Schizosaccharomyces pombe: one gene and its partner. The protein of the gene in region 1 purifies or fractionates together with the protein of each later gene. This does not show direct contact. Each region holds a gene or a part of one and is shown in the gene's direction. Other genes may lie near its edges.

What was found.
Region 2: the proteins of myo52 (region 1) and pkd2 purify together in Schizosaccharomyces pombe (affinity purification with western blotting, with the first as the bait; one study listed by BioGRID). This does not show direct contact.

Annotation. Positions count from the first base shown.
Region 1 is NC_003421.2:2,224,150-2,231,669, reverse strand, and holds myo52 (myosin type V), read left to right. Parts: upstream 1-1,729; 5' UTR 1,730-1,938; coding exon 1,939-1,967; exon of another isoform or gene 1,968-2,026; coding exon 2,027-2,135; exon of another isoform or gene 2,136-2,144; intron 2,145-2,209; coding exon 2,210-6,622; 3' UTR 6,623-6,788; downstream 6,789-7,520. Other genes in the region: tif6 (translation initiation factor-like ribosome biogenesis protein), read right to left, coding at 7,413-7,520. UniProt on the Schizosaccharomyces pombe protein: Involved in cell wall deposition where it has a role in the localization of mok1.
Region 2 is NC_003424.3:4,217,884-4,223,389, forward strand, and holds pkd2 (plasma membrane TRP-like calcium ion channel Pkd2), read left to right. Parts: upstream 1-1,867; 5' UTR 1,868-2,117; coding exon 2,118-4,250; 3' UTR 4,251-4,764; downstream 4,765-5,506. Other genes in the region: ATP-dependent RNA helicase Has1, read right to left, coding at 1-1,271; protein tam6, read right to left, coding at 4,765-5,010. UniProt on the Schizosaccharomyces pombe protein: Acts as a key signaling component in the regulation of cell shape and cell wall synthesis through interaction with GTPase Rho1.

The DNA of each region.
Region 1 (7,520 bases):
TTTGCTTACTAAATCACTTCAGCCGTGTGTGTTAAAGGATCAATATCTCTACCGAGAAGGTTCTTATATAAGCGATGTTTGTTTGTTTGTTTACCCAAAATTTTGGAAGCGGAGGGGATGCGTTTATTATGATGTTGAACGTAATGAAATACATATTTTTTTTTCTTAAGTGTGTTAAAAATAATTGATTTGAGGGAAGCTGTTGTTACGTCGAAGGTTTATCATTTTTTTGTTTGTAATTGAGACGTTCTAAAAGTATTGAGTAACTTGATTCCTTATAAATTTTATTAACTAAGTTACCTTATTTGGTTTTTCATAATTAGTTTGGCCTAAAAATATGTAAATGCATTTATAATTCTTCTTTTCTCTTTTGGGTTTATGCTGCAGACTATACATTTTCCAAAACATCTTCTCATCTCGAAGAAACATGTCTTTTATAGACTTTTTACTTTTGTAATTCTTTTTTAATCGAAATCATAGCCCAATTAATTAATATTTAGTATTGATGCTCCATTTTGAGAGTAATCATCTTCTGAGTTTCTTTGAAGAGAAAACAGAAACATATACTATCTAAATCGAATTTGTCTTTGAGTCAAAGCGTTAGATTATTAGTTGCTTTTTTTATGAAAATATCCCTGTTTCCAAACGGTTTTAGTAAATCATTCTCGTACAAGAATATATAACGAGAGCACGAAATTATCTATCAAAACGAAAGAATTATGATATATATAATATTCTGTTTTTTTTATCTGATGTTTTACTGTTAGAAATCCATTGTGTTGCTCAAACCGTTGATTTTGAATGGTATTATTTACATGTTTGTACCATCTTACCTCCTCTTTTACTAGTAATTCTAAGCCGCACTAGTTTGCCTTATTTAGCATACTGTTTTCTGATAAAAATCGTAGCTAGCTCGGTATTAGTTATTAATATCAGCAATGCAGTTCGATAATATGCCAGTAAAACTGCACTACGCTATCATACATTACGTCGAGTGTCACTATATGTCACATGTTCTACTTGTCATCGTACCATAGATGATACGATATTGAAATTGATCTTAATGATGTTCGATAAAGATTCTTGCTATTAGAATACTATAAAAGATAGCTACTACTGAACTGAGGAAAGAGGTTCAGCAATAAGCTACATTTGTGATAGATAACAATATACCCTTTATATTATAATACCTATACTTGATTGTTACTTTTATAACCTATGTATTACAATATTATAGGTCGCAAGGAAAGCTCACCGCATTACTACGTATCGTTAAAATAATTACAAAATTGCATAGTAAACAGACAACTGTTTTTAAATACGATGAAGTAGTTGAGTTTCTATTGCAATTTTTTATAATCTTATGTATGTTTACTACGATTGGTAATAAATATTCTTACGCTCAACTTAACATTATTTAATATTATAATAACTTATATACTTGATAATTGAAATAACAATTATAGTAATTCTGAAGCAAAAAACTAACTCACTAGCCGTATTGAAATGTGAAATGTTAATTGTACTTTTCAACAAAGCCAACCTTGAAAGTTAAAAACATAATAAATAGTGATAGTTAACATATCATAACATAGCGTGATTTCTTAATGGTAAAAGTTTGATTCTTATTTGAGGTTTTATGAACTTTAGTGAAACCACTATGCGCTTTTATCAAATTGCATAATTCGCTTTTCATATTACTTTGTCTCAGCGAAGTCATCTCCATATTAACATCAGCAGAGAACGAGTATTTTCCATAAGTAAAGAAGAAAGTTTTGAAATAACGTAAACGCGTTAGTAAACTTTTTTTCTATTAGTTTTAGCATTTGCATATTGTTTTGCGACATTTTTTGAGCAAACATCTATTTTTGTGTGTAAACAAAACGCTGTGTTTAGTTTAAATTAGGCGTTCGGGGAGTCTTGTAATTTCTACCGGTCATGACATCGGGGATTTATTACAAGGGACTGTAAGTTTATTAGAATCGTCTTTAAAGGATCCTGCTAATGTTGTTGTTGCGAAATGTAGTCAATGCTGGATTCCAGATGAGCAAAGCCAATGGATCCCTGGAAGCATAAAGGATTGTCGAGTTGAAGGTGAGAAAGCTTTCTTAACGGTACAAGATGAAAACGAAAACGTACGAAAATTATTATTTTCTTTGGTATCCCTTTTGGGTCAATTGAGATTAATTAGCTAATGTGATCTTGTTAGGAAACTGTTATTACAGTGAAGCCAGACGATTTAAATTATGAAGGAAGAAACGGCCTCCCGTTTCTTCGATCCATTAACTCGGATGCTGATGACCTTACTGATCTTTCATACCTAAATGAGCCGTCAGTGTTGGATGCTTTGTCAACAAGGTACAACCAACTTCAAATTTATACGTATTCTGGCATTGTCCTTATCGCAGTAAATCCTTTTCAGAGACTGCCAAATTTGTACACTCACGAAATAGTACGTGCTTATTCGGAGAAATCTCGGGATGAGCTAGATCCCCATCTCTATGCTATTGCTGAAGATAGCTACAAGTGCATGAATCAAGAGCATAAAAATCAAACTATTATTATATCTGGTGAGTCAGGAGCAGGAAAAACTGTTTCCGCAAGATACATAATGCGGTATTTTGCTTCTGTGCAAGCACTTATTCAATCCACCGATTCCAATTTTCATGAAGCTCCACAATTAACTGCTGTCGAGAATGAGATACTTGCTACAAATCCGATTATGGAGGCTTTTGGTAATTCTAAAACTTCTAGAAATGACAATTCTTCTCGCTTTGGTAAATATATTCAAATTTTGTTCGACGGAAATGCTACAATCATTGGTGCTAAAATTCAAACTTATCTTTTAGAAAGATCAAGATTAGTATTTCAGCCTAATCAAGAAAGAAATTATCATATTTTCTATCAGATTTTAGCTGGTTCATCCTCGGAACAACTTGAAAAGTGGAAACTTGTTGAGAATTCTCAAGAATTTAATTATTTAAAACAGGGAAATTGTTCTACAATTGAGGGCGTCAATGATAAAGAGGAATTTAAAGCTACAGTTGATGCATTAAAAACAGTTGGCATTGATAATGATACATGTGAATGCATATTTAGCTTATTAGCTGCATTGCTGCATATCGGTAACATAGAGGTTAAGCATTCAAGGAATGATGCATACATTGATTCAAAAAACGAAAATCTGATAAACGCTACTTCATTGTTGGGCGTGGATCCTTCTTCATTGGTGAAATGGTTAACGAAGCGTAAAATAAAGATGGCCTCTGAAGGTATTTTGAAACCATTGAACGAATTTCAAGCTGTAGTAGCTAGAGACTCAGTAGCGAAATTCCTTTACGCTTCACTCTTCGACTGGCTGGTAGCTACTATTAATAAAGCCTTGATGTACTCAGCTGATAAATCGAACCAGACGGCTAAAAGTTTTATTGGTGTTCTAGATATTTATGGGTTCGAGCACTTTAAAAAAAATTCATTTGAACAGTTTTGCATCAATTATGCGAACGAAAAACTTCAACAGGAATTTTATCGCCATGTTTTCAAACTGGAACAGGAGGAGTATGCTGCTGAGGGACTTAACTGGTCCTATATTGATTATCAAGACAATCAGCAATGTATTAGCATGATTGAGAGTCGTTTAGGGATTCTTTCCCTTTTAGACGAAGAATGCCGAATGCCCACGAACAGCGATGAAAATTGGGTTAGTAAGTTGAACGATGCATTCTCCAAGCCAGAATTCAAAAATAGTTATCAGAAATCAAGGTTTGGTAACAAGGAGTTTACAATTAAGCATTATGCTCTTGACGTTGTTTACTGTGCCGAAGGATTTATTGATAAAAACCGTGATACAATATCCGATGAGTTGTTGGAGCTTTTTACAAATTCAGACGTTCCCTTTGTCAAGGATCTGGTTTTATTCCGTCTTGAACAAACTGCACCCCCAGCCGATACCAAAAAAATAAAAACCAAGCCAAAAAGTAATACTCTTGGTTCAATGTTTAAAAGCTCTTTGGTTAGTCTAATGAGTACCATCAACGAAACTAATGCTCATTATATTCGTTGTATCAAGCCAAATGAAGAGAAAGAAGCCTGGAAATTTGATAACCAAATGGTGGTTTCTCAGTTACGAGCATGCGGTGTTTTAGAAACTATAAAAATATCTTGTGCTGGTTTTCCCTCCCGTTGGACTTTTGATGAGTTTGTTTCTCGTTATTACATGTTGGTTCCCTCTGCCGTAAGAACTACGGAGTCTTTGACCTTTAGCAAGGCAATTTTAGAGAAACATGCTGATCCGACTAAATATCAAATTGGCAAAACTAAAATATTTTTTCGTTCAGGTGTGACGCCCCTTTTAGAGAGTGCGAGAGACAAAGCTTTGAAACATGCAGCACATCTTTTGTATGAAGCGTTTGCTGTTAATTACTATAGGACTCGTTTTCTTCTGTCTCGGAAGAGAGTCAGGAGCTTTCAAGCCGTTGCTCATGGTTTCTTATCTCGTCGCCATACGGAGTACGAATTACTTTCTTCCAATATTATTAAACTTCAGTCACTTTGGAGAACTGCATTAAAGAGAAAAGAATTCATACAAACGAAAAATTCTATACTTAAAGTGCAAAGTATAATTAGAGGCTTTTTATTAAGACAGACTTTAGAGGAAAAGACAAAGCATGATGCAACATTAATTATTCAAAGTCTTTGGTTAACATTTAAAGCCCATAAGCACTACAAAGAACTACAATATTATGCAGTTCGTATCCAGTCTCTTTGGAGGATGAAACTTGCAAAGCGACAATTGACAGAATTAAAAATTGAATCCACTAAAGCGAGTCACCTTAAGCAAGTATCTTACAGGCTTGAAAGCAGATTGTTTGAGATTTCAAAACAGTTGGACAACTCGGAGCAGGAAAATAACAAGTTCAGGGAAAGAATCGCTGAATTGGAGTCTCATCTGTCCAACTATGCTGAAGCAAAGTTAGCACAAGAAAGAGAACTTGAGCAAACTAGGGTACTTATATCGGATCAATCTCAAGATGGGGAATTAAAGGAGTTACTTGAAGAGAAAGAAAACGCTTTGATTATGATGGAAGAGGAGATGAGGCAAGTCAACGATGCGAATACCGAACTTTTAAGAGTAAATGCAACTTTGAAGTCGCAGCTTAAAAATTACGATATGATTATTGTTGAGCAAACCTCTCAGTTGAAAGAGAAAAACAGGATAATTGCTAGTCTGACAAAAGCCACTAAAATACTGAATTCGGCCTCTAGTATCGAACAGTCGCGCAATTCGGAAGAGAAATCACGTCGTGATAGTTCATTGATGGAAATGCGTACTCAAAAAGAGATGCTTGTGCTATTAATGAACGATGGCTTGAAGCACGATCTTGACAAACTCACAGAATATGCAGGTAGAACATTTACAACTCTTAAAACTCTATTACTAAAGGACAACGATGTTGAGGCTCAGAAACTTGATCATTTGTTTTTAGCAAAACTACTTTTTATAATAATATCACAAATGTGGAAATCAAATCTGTGTCAGGAAAGTGTTGCCTTGGTTGAGCGTTACTGTGTCCACACTTTAGAATACGTATTTCAAAAGACATCATCTGCTAATGAGAGACCTGACATCGGATTTTGGGTTGCAAATACACATGCGCTCTTGGCTTTTGTTTATACTAAGCAGCAGGCGTTTAAACATTCCTCGGCTTTCACTCTTTTATCCACCGAATCTCATGAATCAGTGCAAACCATTTTTGAGATGATTGAATCACATCTGTCAAAAATCTTTTTCGAATGGGTTAGGCAAGTCAATAATTTTTTAAAGCCATTGATTGTTCAGGCAATGATTATTACTGGTACAAATACGGATGCTGGAGATGAGAATCGAAAACTACGGATTAAATTTTTTGAGAAACCAAAATACAAAATCACCGATGTAATACATGTACTAAATAAGGTGCATGATTCTTGTCAGGCCTATAAAGTTAATTATGAAATATATAATGCATTGATTAGAAGCATATATCGATTCATTAATGTGGAGGCATTCAATTCACTTTTTATTGATGAACGTGGATCTTGGAAACGTGGTACCAATATTTCATACAATTATCATGTTCTTAAGGATTGGTGTCTAGAAAGTGGTGTTCCGGAAGCTTATTTGCAGCTCGAAGAGCTTTTACAAACCTCCAAGATACTACAATTTGTGAAAGATGATCCAAATTATGTGGCCAGGGTCCGCGACTTTTATGCTCTTAATTTTCTGCAAATAAAAACACTCTTACATCGTTATGACTATGCTGACTACGAGGCTCATGTACCGAAAAAAACTATGTCTGAATTGTCCAAAAATATTGTTGCTGAAGGCATCAATCAAAGGGAACAACTTACTTACGAAGTGTTGGATTATAGACTACAAGATAGTTTTGAGGAATCTCCATCTCTTGAAAAAATAAAGATACCAGATGATTGTAATGTTACCTATTTGCGTCGTATCATCGACCTTGCTAGTGCAGAAGAAAGTGTTGAGCAAGCTTTGATCACTGTAGGCAACGTAGCCGACAATGATGTACAGAACTCGAGCGACGAAGAAAATCAAGTACCAAATGGTATTAAAGTTTAATATCTAGTTATTTTTCAAGGTGCTCTGCCTACTTATTTATTCCCTAATTAGGGGTTTTACTTTCAAAATTTGGAGCTGGGCCTTAGTTTCCGTGGAAGTTTTAATCAAAACATCCTGATAATGACAATCTTTTACGAGTTTTATTTACTGCTAAATATAAATATCTATGAGTATTGTAGTCTATTCTACTTCCCCACTTTGTATAGTTACTTGGTAACTTAATTTATTCTTAAATATTTATTTCGCTTGCGGAGTACGCATTGGTTTCAGTCAAAAAATACCTACATCGAAATACTTTCCATAACTAGTTTGTCACCAAAGACTGAAAAGAAAGTATATTTATTAGATCATTTTTAATATAAAGGCTGCAAACTACTTAATAAAACACGTAAATTGAAGTACGAAGTCTCATGCAGCGTTAGCAAGAAGCTCTACTCTATAAGCGAGAATAGCTTAACAAATCCGAATGTGTTAAGAACAGACAAAAAGCAAAGCAATAAAAGCATTTTCAAAATCTATTTGACATAATAAAAATAAACACGATTACGGAAGTCCCTTAAGTGTTATAATGGTCTATAAAAAACTTGTATTGTAAATTTCTACAATAGGAAGCTTGGGTACCACAATGGATAGGACTATTAAACCGAAAGGCATATCAAAAATTTTATAACCAGATACATACGTATAACGTATCAACATTAAAACTTTAATAGGAAAATATCACGTAGGATGAATTATCCAAACTCATAAATCCTGATCAATAATTTTTTAGTTAGCTCACACCGACTGCTTATGTATAAGACTCAACAAGAGTGTCTCTGTTGCTTATAATAGCAGAAGGTTGAGCATCTTGAAGTTTAAATATAGATTCACAGACAGCCAATTCAGTAGCCGTAGT
Region 2 (5,506 bases), on another chromosome or scaffold:
ACACGATGAATATAATCTCGGGGGTCATCAGGAGGATCGTACTGCACGATCCAGTCAACGGCTGGAATATCTAACCCGCGTGCAGCAACATTGGTGCAAAGTAGTATTCCCTTTTCGGCATTGCAGAATTCAAAAAAGGTGTTTGTACGACGCTGTTGCTTTTGCTTGCCATGAAGATCAAGTACTGGTAAATCTATATAGTTCAGTAATTCTGCCATATATTTGACAGAAGCACAAGATGACATGAAAACAATAACTTTTTTCTTCAAATTGCGTTTTAAGAAGGAAAATAAAAGAAGAAACCGTTTGTCAGAATCAACTACAACATAACCTTGCTCCAATCCTTCAACGGTAGAGGTAGGCTTACCAGAATCAACGTTAACATACAAGGGTCCGGGCTTAAGAGAGATACGAGCAAGATCTTCAACTTTAGTTGTCTGTGTAGCAGAAAACAGGAGGGTTTGTCGATTTTCCGAGGGAAGGATTTTCATGATTTGTCTCATTTCGTCCTCAAAACCAATCTCCAAAATTCTGTCGGCTTCGTCAATCACTAAGGATCGTAAATTGCGGAATACAAATCCTTTGGTATTTTGCAAGTGATCCAGTAAACGACCAGGAGTAGCAACTAATAGGTTAACACCTTTCACCAATTTATCAGCTTCAGCACGGCGATTAGCACCGCCAATGACGATACCAAATGTTTGGTGATGGTATTTCAACAACTCCTTTGCGACACCAAAAATTTGAAGAGCCAATTCACGAGTAGGAGATATAATAATAACACCAGTACCATTACGAGGCTTAAATTTCAATGCATAAAGCATTTCAATGGTAGGAATTAGAAAAGCCAAAGTTTTACCACTACCAGTTTTAGCTGCACCTAAAACATCACGACCGGCCAAAAGAGGAGGAATAGAGCGCTTTTGAATTTCTGTCATCGTTTCAAAGCCCATTTCTTTAATTGCCTTTTGGATGTTTTCAGAGAGTTGTAGGTCTGAAAACTTTTCAATATCCGAAGTGGAAGAAGCGTTCAGGTTGACAGATTTTTGAACACGCTCATCTTCATTTTCATTATCTAATTCCTCACTTTCTGATTCTACTGAAGTATTTTGGTCAGCATCTTCATTTTCCTCTTCCTGCTCGTAATCGTCTTCGTCTTGAGGAAGTTCTTCAGCAATTTTTTTATCGTTTTTTAAAGGTTTTTGACGTTTTTCTTTTACTTCCTCATTACCCGATTGATGCTTTTTCCGCTTTAACTCGGATTTAGCCATCTTGTACAACGAATGCAGACTACTAATGAGTTTGGGAATTTGCAAAATGCTTGTATGAAAAATGGAAAAGTGGAAAACTGCGAAATGTATACCGCCGTAACGCAACGTGTCAAATCTATGCAGCAAAGTAAATAGCAATATTTAACGATATTCTTTTCATTCAACTTTCAAATGTTAAACAATTATAGTGTTCAAATTCGATTGAAATTCCTAATCTAAAGTTAGTGTCTTTTAATAAACATTTCGCTATCTATACTGCGTACTATGTCACATTAGGCTTAGTTTTACATTATGATATTTTAAAGTAGCTGTGGTGAATTTCTTTATGAAAGAAGTTTTGCTAAAATGACTTTTGTTAATACGTTACGAGTTGATTAAGCGTCAATTGACACTGTAGAATATAAAAATTATCTTATAAAAAAAAAAGAAAGGTCTATCGTACTATTAAATCCTCAATTACCAGTTATTTACTGGTTAGTGTGCTGGTAGTTTTCCATGTTAAATGGCTGTGATCTAAGGTAACAGGTACCGGGATTTGTCTCTAGTCATCACTTGTCTTGAACGGGTTGAGAATCTTTGATGATAATACAGCCACCCAGAGCAAACTATATTTTTGTTAATCATTCCCATTGTTATATATCCCTCGATTTAATTGGAATTAATAAGTTTTCAAATCTAACTTAATTTAAGAATAATAATAACTGGTTGTGGAGAATTTTAGCTACATTTGAGACTCAGTTACATTGGAATTCACAGTCTGTCTTTTCTATTCATTAATATCATCTTTTGACTTCACCTTCCTGTTTTTCCATTAATCAACTGTTTCTCACTACCATCAACTGCAAAATGAGGCTTTGGAGAAGCCCACTTTTACTCTTAGTTGTGGTCGTCGAGCTATTTTCATGGGCTGATGCTTTAACCAGATTCATTTCCGCCGACTCTCTGTCCACATGTATGACTGATTCACAGTTATCAGCAAGTAAGCTCTATGCCTCGTATTTTCCGGACAATCAATCTGTTGCCTTTGATATCTCGATACAATCTCTTGTTTCTACGAATGTCAGTATAGACGTCGACATTAGTGCATACGGAATCGAAATAAAGAAGGTGATAGATCCTTGCGATATGGAAATTTCTGGCTTCTGTCCAATGCAGACTGGAAATATTGCTTTATCTGGTAGTCATACTTTAACCGGAGAGGCTCTTTCTATTCTTGATAGTATTCCCTCCATTGCATACACAGTTCCGGATTTAGATGCTGTTGTGACTATTAATATTTATGAATCAGATACAAACACACAATTAGCTTGTGTTCGTACTACAGTGCAAAATGGTCGTTCTGTTTACCACAGAGCTGTTTACTGGGTTATGTGTATGGTAATCGGTATCCCACTTTTAATTTTCTTACTGATATCCCCTGTTCTTCAAACACCCGCACTTTGGGAAATCGTTGAAACGATGATTACCTTATTTCAGTTTGCTCAAATCCAGGCTTTGTATTCCATGATGGCTACTTCTCTTCCTGCTATCATTTACAGTTGGGGCCGTAATTTCATGTGGTCGATGGGTATTATCAGGATTGGCTTCATGCAAGATGTTTTTACATGGTACGTTAAATCAACTGGCGGCACGCCATCTACTCTTGTAGATTTGGGTATACATGCTAATGTCGCCCTCGCAAAACGTGGTATTGATTTGGGCTCTCTCGCCAAGCGTGCAACTACTACTGTCACCACTAGCACAAGTGATTCTATTACCCTGAGGGGAATCAAGCGTATTTCATATATGATGGGGATTGAAACGACGAATTTCTTTGCTACTGGGTTTTCCTTTTTTATTATATTGTTGTTCTTTTCATTACTAGTTGCTATGGCTTCTAGATTTATTGTTGAAATGGTGCTCCTTGCATCCAGAAATCAAGCTTTGAAAAAGCAACGTATCCGTCTTTATTGGAAATCTATATCCAAAGGATTTTTCTATCGTGTGATTTTTGTCGGATTCACTCAAATGAGTGTTTTGTCCATGTGGGAAATCTATACTCGTGATTCTTCCGCTTTGGCATTTTTATCAATGTACGTGATTGTGGACATGGCAGTTTTGCTCTGCTATGCATTTGTGCGGACAATTCAAATTATCCGCAAAACAGGACCTTATTCCCATCCTGACGTCTTGTACAACCTATATTCTGACACTCAACACTTGATGCGTTGGGGCTTTATGTACGTGCAATTAGACGTCCGTTTCTTTTACTTTACTTTCCCACTGTTGCTTATAACCTTGGTACGCTCAATGTTCATCGGTTTTGGTCAGGGCTCACCCAAAGTCCAGGGCTGTGCCATGTTTGGTATTAGCGTTGTCGTTTTTGCTCTTATGGTGATTCTCCGACCTTATGCCACTAAACACATGAATACTTTGCATATCGGTGTTGCTTTAATGAATTTGATAAGTGGTTCTTTTATTTTAGTGATGTGTCAAGCTTTTTATGTGGAGGAATTAGCTCGTCAAGTTATTGGCATTATATTTTTTGCATTGAACGCTATTACAATGCTTCTTTTGATCCTGGGTATATTTATACGTACACTTATCGTCCTGTTCCGTAAATCAGGACATGGTACTTATTACCGTATCCTCGATGACCAAAGCGAGAAGGCTACCTCGTATAACAAATCTATTAAGGATATGAGCTCTTCCGACATGGCCTTCTCTGATCCGGCTTACTCTGGAACTACGTTGAGAAGCTCCGTTGACCTTAATACACCAGAATATCCGTTTTCGAATCGTAATGATTCAGACAGTACGTTCACAAATAACAAATATGTTTCCCCTTGGGACGCTATCGAAGAAGCTTCGTATGCCAACCTTCGTGGAAATACTGACGTCGAACAACCATTTATGGAATCAGATTATACCCGCATCTCTGAAAATAATAACAACGCTGAACGTCGACGCAAACCATTACCTAACAATGCTTTTCGTTAAACGTGGATGGAAAATGTTGTGTCGTATTACATATATATTACATTCCATCTACCTTACACATTCTTTCATTATTATACAATTGTTGTCTCTGAGATTTTTTTAAACTATAATTTTCTACAAAGTTTGGGGTAAAAGACCTTTAAAACAATTCACACAAGCATTCTTACAATGAACTCGACGAGGAGGTTCAATAAGCAATCAATGTCTAAATCTTATTTTTAGACAAAAGTCAACTATTTAGTGTATTCGCATCCTTTTTTTTATTTATGGTTCTTTTTTTAATTATATTTCAGAATTTTCCCTTCATTTCTGCTTCTTTTCTTTTATTCCATAATTGTTATAGTGTATAGGTTTAGTTACCATTTAAGCATATTTGTTGGATGTGCATCAGAAAGCAAAAAAACTTCACCCGTTTGATTAAAATGCAATTTAGTAAAAAACATTTACTTCTGATTCAAGTTACTTCTTCACGTCTTAAGATAACTGATAATAGAAAACGACGTTTATTAACATTTTATTGAAACAATCTATAGACACCGGTAAGAATAAATCCATAAGCCATTCCCAAAATACCGAATCGTTTAAGCTTGTAATTGGGTGTATTCAAAGGAATTCTAGATTGCGAATAGGCATATATTCCTAGACCTGTGAAAGCGCCTGCGCCCACCAAGCGGCATGGCAAGCAATCGTACTGTTCAAACCTTGGATCGTCTAAATCGACGGGTTTGGGAGTTTGTTGGAAACTTGATGATGGCATCATCGAAAGCTATCAGTTTAATTTATAAACTATAAAAAAAAAGTAACCGCGTAAATATATATGTGTATAATTAAGAGGCCACACAGCTTTCAACCACTTTCACTTTATAAACAAGATTAAAGCACTAAAAGGTAAAGTTTACTCAACCCGCTTTTTCTTTTCTTGTCAACTACAAAATGAAATGTCAGCGATCAATAATACGGTATCCAATTTGATAGATGTTCAATAATAACGACTCAGGACTTTTTTCTCTTTCAATTTGTGGGAAATCTATAGGGCGCGCTGTTCAAACTGTTTAATATATTGGTCTTATGTTCTCCAGTACTGAAATGAATCAATGGCAAAAGTTAAAAGAGACAAAGTAGTGAGTTAAGAGCTAAGTTATAGATCTACTGAAACCGTCTGTTTTATTTTAACTATGAAGAAGAATAAAAGAGGCTAAAGTTACATTTCATTTTTGTATATTTGTAGATCTGCTACCGGATCAATATTTTTTTGG